2 linked regions of the Arabidopsis thaliana genome follow. The protein of the gene in region 1 interacts with the protein of each later gene in a pairwise test. Each region holds a gene or a part of one and is shown in the gene's direction. Other genes may lie near its edges. The genes, in order: HB30 and NAC020.

Evidence for each region.
Region 2: the proteins of HB30 (region 1) and NAC020 interact in a two-hybrid assay, tested with the Arabidopsis thaliana proteins (one study listed by BioGRID).

What each region holds. Positions count from the first base shown.
Region 1 is NC_003076.8:4,936,766-4,941,205, reverse strand, and holds HB30 (homeobox protein 30), read left to right. Parts: upstream 1-1,998; 5' UTR 1,999-2,516; coding exon 2,517-3,332; 3' UTR 3,333-3,741; downstream 3,742-4,440. UniProt on the Arabidopsis thaliana protein: Putative transcription factor.
Region 2 is NC_003070.9:20,278,677-20,282,583, reverse strand, and holds NAC020 (NAC domain containing protein 20), read left to right. Parts: upstream 1-1,631; 5' UTR 1,632-1,694; coding exon 1,695-1,851; intron 1,852-2,003; coding exon 2,004-2,272; intron 2,273-2,389; coding exon 2,390-2,869; 3' UTR 2,870-3,077; downstream 3,078-3,907.

The sequences.
Region 1 (4,440 bases):
CTGAGATAATGTTTTCCCGGCCCGTTATAAACTCATCGAATAATGGGCCAACATTCTAAGCCTCAGGCTCTGGCCCGTCAACGCGGCTAGATCCGTTCATTGAATCAGAAACATATTTATCCTATCGGGTTTAAAATTTCAATTAAAATTTCAAACATAAATTTCTCTCATATTATCATATATGGACGAACCAGCTTTGTTTTTGGCATAATGTGAAATCAAGAGCCAACTTGTTTTAGCCATTAAAGTTTCCTCAAATACTTCTCAAGTTGCCATGCACATCAATATTTAGTTTTTGAATTATTATTTTCTTGTAATTTTACACATTCCTATTCAAAAACAATACAATTAAAATAAAATCATTTCGTTTATAACACAAAAAAAGGAAGAAGAAGATGTCATTGTTTTTTTCTTTATTCACAAATCTTAAGAACAGTCCATATTAATGCATACTAACCACCCATGCGATACATTCATCGTATATGATAAATCCTTCCAATTGCATTTGCACACATACATAAAGTAGGATATGTGTATATATAAAACATATACAGGCATAACATATAATAGATTTTAGAAAGAAAGAAAAAATCACAGATAGATCATCAAATAATTGCGTCAGATAATATATCCTGAAAAAAAAAAACTAATTAATATTATCCTTGTTATGGGCATAAAGCTTATTTAATGTCGGTTTGCCTTATTCTTCCTAACTAAAGAGTAAAAAGCCTTATAACTATTTCTAAAACAATAATATATGTGTTATATTATTTTGTTGTCTATGAAATCTATAGATAATCGTAGTGCGGTAACAATAAGACCAATCAACAATCAAGTTATATCTAAATGCTTGAAATGTTGATACGGTGGTTCCCTATTTTGGCTATGGTAAGTCGTGCAAGTCGTAATATATACCTACATTAATTAAAGTATAATGTTAAAGTTCAATGTATTTGAGAAGAAGAGAATTGTCTTCCATAACAGACGAACATGGTTTGATTAGGTAGCGCCATGTTGCAAGATATGTACGCGTGTTAGCTGTTTTTGGTATTTAGACAATTTCATATCATCATTAGTCAAAAGAAAGAAAAAGTTTTAAGAGTTGAGATTTACAATTACGTTACTACTATAAGAAAACAGACGACATTTTAGAAACCCGTTAAAATTCAAAATTTTGACGGAGAATTCAACCGTTGGATTTAGAGCATCAAAATTAAAACTTCCATAAAATTTGTCTGAATTTTTTGATAAAATTTATCGGTCATATTTTAGCAAATCTCCTAAAAAAATTGGTATACTATCAATTATTTATGGAGTTTTTGCTTTGAATTGTTAGTTTATCACTTATTATTAGTAATGGATTTGCAAACGATCTTAGGTTTGGTCTACACCTCTCTGATTAAAGACTTTTTTATACAGCTTTAAAGAAGTTTGGAGTAAACGGCATCGTTCTTCACCACTGCTCGTGTCAGCTTTTTTAGTTGTGGTCTCCTTTTCTTAAGGCCACTTTAACCGTCAACATGTATAGTCAATAAACATTTTTGAGTTAATTAGTGGAGTAGTTGAGAAGTAAATAAATTAAGCTAGTCATAGTTTTTTTTGCAAAAATTTGGTAGTAGAGTAACTTTTAAGATTGTAAGTTGATAGTTTTTTCGACATAAGATTGAAGACAAACCATGAACTATAAAACTAGGGAAGGTCGAGATTTTAACATTTTTGGATAAACATTGCTTTTGATCAACAATACGAAATATTAACTTTTGTCTTTAGTTAACATCATTGAATCAACAACCCGAATCAACCTTAATTATATTCATGCTTTACTTCCACACGAAATTTTCAGCTTAAATAAGGAGAAAAAAAAATAAAAAAAAATAACGAGAAATAATAATAATTGAAATTTGAAAGGTAGCAAAAAAGATTAATATTGATATAAAATTGGAGTATATATTATTAAAGTTGTCAACGTCATGGAGATACAAATTTAGCAAAAAGAAAAAGACATGACTCACATTAGATGCTGTTCTATGAACTCTATTTATTAGCCTATATTTATTACACTTATCTTTTTTCATTAACCCTAGATGGGGTCAACAAACCATGGTTAAAAAAAAATATTCAACCAAAAAAAAAAAAACACATAATGATTATGAATCTCAACCACACAACTTGGATTTCTCATTATCAACAGTCTTCAACTTCTCATCTCTTTCTTCCTCCATGAGAGACTTGAGTAAATAATACATAGTTTTAAATTTCCCCTTTTCTAATCTTATCTCTCCCAAATACATAAACCCATCCCAAAGATTTCGAGTTTACAATTTAAAAACAGTTTTGTTTAGTGCAATCTTTACCTTATCTTTACTTCTATCATCTATTCTTCTTCTTCCTCCATCTCTAGAAAATTATAATACTTCTTGTTTCTTAAATCTTATTTGTATTACAATAACCAAAACCCAAGTTTACAAAACATTTCTTCTTCTTGTTTTTCGAAACCCTAAATGTTTTGAGTTGTCATGGATGTAATAGCTACTACAACTACTATAGTATCCGACTTGGATTCACGACAACCCGAAATCGAAGCTCCGATCCGGATCCAGCCCGCGAAGCCTATTTCTTTCTCAAACGGCAAACGCTGCCACCACCATCATCTTGCATCTGAAGCGGTTGCGGTTGCGACTTATAAAGAATGTCTAAAGAATCACGCAGCAGGTATCGGCGGTCACGCTTTAGACGGATGCGGCGAGTTTATGCCGTCACCGTCGTTTAACTCCAATGACCCCGCTTCACTAACGTGCGCTGCTTGTGGTTGCCACCGTAACTTCCACCGCCGTGAGGAGGATCCATCTTCTCTCTCTGCCATCGTCCCTGCGATCGAATTTCGACCTCACAACCGTCACCAGCTTCCTCCACCGCCTCCTCCTCATCTGGCGGGGATTCGTAGTCCAGACGACGATGATTCAGCTTCTCCACCGCCGATCTCGTCTTCTTACATGCTTCTCGCACTCTCTGGAGGAAGAGGAGGAGCTAACACGGCGGTTCCAATGTCTAGGAAACGTTTTAGGACGAAGTTTAGTCAGTATCAGAAGGAGAAGATGTTCGAGTTCTCGGAGAGAGTTGGGTGGAGGATGCCGAAAGCTGATGACGTGGTGGTTAAGGAGTTTTGTCGGGAGATTGGAGTTGATAAAAGCGTTTTCAAAGTGTGGATGCATAACAACAAGATTTCAGGACGCAGCGGCGCTAGAAGAGCTAACGGCGGAGTAGTAGTAGGAGGAGTAGGAGATAGTCGTCAGAGTGTTGTTCCGACAAATGGGTCGTTTTCTTCGACGTGAGGAAAAGAATGGAAAGCGTTGAAAAAGCGTCGTCGTTTTAGAGGCTAATTCTTTTTTGGTTTTTCTTCTCTGTGTTTTGAAGATTTTTTATTTTTAGTCAACGGGTCAAAATCTTTTTTCTATTCCACTTTGTTTTGTTATGTCTTGTAGTTTGTACTCTTGTTAGTAGTTTATCTTTGTTAGAGAGGTGATTTGAGTTGTATCTTTCGACCAAATGTGAGAAGAAAGATAAATGAGTAACCTCCTAAAACCGAATAACAAAGTCAATTAATCCAATTGTTTTCTAAATTCTATATCAGTTTGCTTTTTTATTTTTACTTTTTTTCTTTATATAGAAATTTATGAAAGAAATGAGGGAATTTGTTGCAATTATGTGACATTACTAGATTTTTAACCCGCGGTATACCGCAAGGACAATTTTTTTTTTTTTAAGTTAGTATATATAAAAGTTTACAAATTGTATCTATCTATAAAATATTTTTATTTTATAGTTTACAATTGTTATTAAGTAAAAAAAACTATTTATTTTATTAATGTTGATCTTATTTATGATATGTTTATAAATCATTGTCTAAATATTTTGTAATTTTGTAATAATTAACTGCTATAAAATATCTATGTGGGTTGATGCGTATAATGGAATTGTTATAGTCATGCAAAAAAAGCAATATCAAAAATGATAATTTTGTAATTTTTAAATGATGTTAAATATTTTAGAAGTTTTATTTTAGTAACTAATCGTGTAGTTATTGTAGAGAGATTTTGAGAAGATAGTTAAATGTCAAATATTTAATTCGAAAATTTACTTTCTAATTATCAAAAATAATTATTAAATGCCAGTGACAACCACTGTAAATAAGTCTCAACTTGAAGATTTATTTCATATAGTGGCTGCAAAAATGTATATGTAGATAACTCAAAAACATGAAAACACAGTTACTATTTTGTGTGTTTATTTTCGATGCTAGTAGTTAACACCTGTTTGTTTATTTGTTGAAATGGTAAAAGATACAACTAAGAGTTGGTAAGATTAGGCACTACGTTAGGTTAATATGATTGGAGACACCACTCACTTATAATATATTCTTGCTGTTCTATTAAGGCAAGA
Region 2 (3,907 bases), on another chromosome or scaffold:
TGATACTCTAGATATCAATACTATAAGCTTGAGAAAGAGTATAGGTACTTGATACATGTGAAATGGAAATATAAAAGGGTTGATAAGATAAGATGCTTAGATCTTAATTAGCTTTATTCGCTTCCCCTTAGATCGTATCAAAGGTTGCATGTCTTTAGTTAGGCTTGCATGTTAGCTTCCTCGTTGTCTTTATTAATTAATTAATCCACATTCCTTTTGCATTTGTGATACAACATTTATATATATAGTCACATTTTTTTTTATATATAGTACTCACATTAATTACTTGTTCATATAGACTTAGACTCGATTTGTGACCAAGAAAAACAAAGTGGTGAAACAATTGGGGCATGTCTTGTTGTTGTCGTTTGATAAGTTAAACTGTTAAAGCATCTTTCGCCAAAATATTTTTCAGTTGCTATCTTTTGTTTTTTGTATCTGTCACTCTCTCTCTCTCTCCCTAAGTTATTGGTGACCACATCTTAAAGCTTCCCTAAAATGTTATTGTTATTTCTTTCTCACGGAAAAGGGAGAGTTACTTACTTGAAGTTTGAATATTATACTTTATAAGAATGGAGGAGTTTTATATATGTCGCAACTTGTGGACTCCCTCAGTATTTGATCATTTCCTTACATAAAACGTTTGATTACTTCATTCTGTTAAATTCCGTTTACAATGTTCTTCGTCTACATGTGAATTATATATATTAGCAAACGAAAAAAAACCATGTAAACGAGACATCTAATATATGACATGAGTTATATATATCATACATGTGAAGAATGAAGATGTCCTTATTTTTTTAATTTATCTTTTGGATCGAGGCCGAGAGTCGAGGCAAAAGAGATTTGACCGGAAGTTAGTAAAATTGAAGGGCCGAGAGAAAGAGAGTCAAAGATTGTGTGGGAGTAATGATGTAAAAGAGCCGAACAACGTCTTTAATCCATATGTAAAAGGGACTAAAGAAGCCTCCCAACACTAAAGCCAAAGTCGACTTGGATGCCTCCTGCTTTTTTATTCTCCCATTTTTTAATCATATATATGAATTCAATTTATAAGTATTCTTATTATAAGACCATAACAACATAAAACAATATAACAAAACTGTCAAACCGAAAAAAAAAGAAAAGAAAAAGCCGAGTGTTTAGGTGTCGCCAGGTAGATTTGGTTTGAGAAGAAGAGATGGGTCCCCTAAACTGTTGAATCATAAAAAGCCTTCATTTTTGGTTTAAAGCAAACGTTATAAAAATCCCTCTATAATGATTCATGACCCACGTTAAGGTCTAACCGGAATTATAAGCATATACATTCATATATGTGAGTATTTGTGAGATGGGGCCTTCTTGCTAAAGCTTTTTCCGTCTCTCCTCCTACTAGGGTTTTCACACTTGCAGAATCTTCAAAAGCCAGAGTTAGGTTTTTATTTAAAATATATATATTGGTTTTAGAAAATATGTGTGATGAGTATCATGACAAACACTGACCAAAAAGCAACCCAAAGTAAGACAAAATATTAATCTCAGAAGATGCCAATCCCATGGCATACTTTTACACATTCCCATATCATATCTTCTTCAGAGTCTCATCTTTTTAATTATATATAGTCACCTTCATATGTCGTACGAACATCCTAATCACTTTAATTAATCTCTCTCATCTCTTTCTCTCTCGTTTTCTAACGCATACACTTTGAATGGCGCCCATGAGTTTGCCTCCAGGATTCAGGTTTCATCCCACTGATGAAGAACTGGTGGCTTACTATCTTGATAGGAAGGTCAACGGCCAAGCCATTGAGCTCGAGATCATCCCAGAAGTTGATCTTTATAAATGCGAGCCATGGGACTTGCCTGGTACGATCCAACTCTTTATATCTCTCTCTATATATGGTTCAGCTTGTTTATGTCAATCTGACGTTATAGATTACATATATTGGTCATGATGCATTCATACATATGATATTGGAGGTTTTATGAGTTATTTATTTGGATAATACGCGGAACAGAAAAGTCATTTTTGCCGGGAAACGACATGGAATGGTACTTTTACAGCACAAGGGATAAGAAGTATCCAAATGGCTCTAGGACGAACCGTGCGACCCGAGCGGGTTACTGGAAGGCCACGGGGAAAGATCGTACAGTAGAATCAAAGAAGATGAAGATGGGAATGAAGAAGACACTGGTTTATTATAGAGGAAGGGCTCCTCATGGCCTTCGTACTAATTGGGTCATGCATGAATATCGTCTCACGCACGCTCCTTCCTCCTCCTTGAAGGTAAATTATTTCCCATGCACAAACTTCTATTAACATATATATCTATATTCATTTCTGATCTAATTTTTTTTTTTTTGATAAACCATATCGACTAATATTAATGTTGATCTAAAACAGGAGTCGTATGCATTGTGCCGAGTGTTTAAGAAGAACATACAAATTCCAAAGAGAAAAGGGGAAGAAGAAGAAGCAGAAGAAGAGAGCACTAGTGTAGGAAAAGAAGAGGAAGAAGAAAAGGAGAAGAAGTGGAGAAAATGTGATGGTAATTATATTGAAGACGAGAGCTTGAAAAGAGCATCCGCGGAGACATCTTCATCAGAGCTAACTCAAGGGGTCCTTTTAGACGAAGCAAACAGCTCATCCATATTTGCTCTTCATTTCTCATCTTCTCTTCTGGACGATCATGATCATCTTTTCTCAAACTATTCTCATCAGCTTCCATATCATCCTCCTCTTCAACTCCAAGATTTCCCTCAACTTTCTATGAACGAAGCAGAGATTATGTCAATCCAACAAGACTTTCAATGCAGAGACTCTATGAACGGGACACTTGACGAAATCTTCTCTTCTTCCGCCACTTTCCCCGCTTCCCTTTGATAAATCCATATCTCATACTATCATCTAGTACTTCTTTTCTCAACTTATTTAAATATACTCGGGTACTTCATATATAGTATTTTTTTTTTTACTTGTTTTTTGCTTATGAATTAGTTTGACTGGTGAAAAAGGGTGAGGAGGTTTGTGGAATTATTTTTTCTACCACAAAAAGAAATTGCATTATTTTATTTTAATTTTTATCATTAGGTGTGTATGGTACTTAATCACTAGAGTTGGTTGGTTTTGTCATATATAGGAGGGAAAACGGAAGTAAAAATTGTGTAATCGATCGACATTACTTATTGGTTTGCATACTTGTAGACTTAAAATCTGGCATGGGCGTCATGGCAACGCAAATTTGGAAAACTTTTCGGATTATATATGTCCGACTGCGGATCAATATCTTATTTAACTATATATATGTGTTATGAATATGAAACAAAAGTTTTAAAATCTGAATGAATAAAGAAAAAATTCTCAAGAAAAGAAGCTGAAAACAAAGAAGAGAGAAAAATCGAGACAAATTTCACTACAAACAAAATAAATTCTTTATTAAAAAAGATGAGAATTACAAGACAATGATTAAAGACATCTCGAGTTTATGATACTATATATAGTTTGTGATTGATTTGGAAGATACAAACAACATTATCATGAAGAAATCTCTAGTTTATGATACTTTTAATTTAATTTAACCAAGTGATAGTGGTCTAATAGTTTTCACTTGAAGACGAATCATCGTTTTTGTCTAGGTCATACATTGATCTCTCTCAAATGCAAGATTATTTAATCATTCTTATTATACTATCCCTAAAACAATCTTACTATAAATGAATCTTTAAAATATATATATATATATATATATATATATTGCAGTTTCAAATCCAAACATATAATAAGATAATAATTTGTTCGTTTGAAATTCAACATGATCGTATATGCATAAACTTGCAATAAAACATACTAAACTTTTTAAATTTTGTATTCATCAATTAACACTGATCATAATCCCATCCTCTAAAGTATAAACTCTAGTAA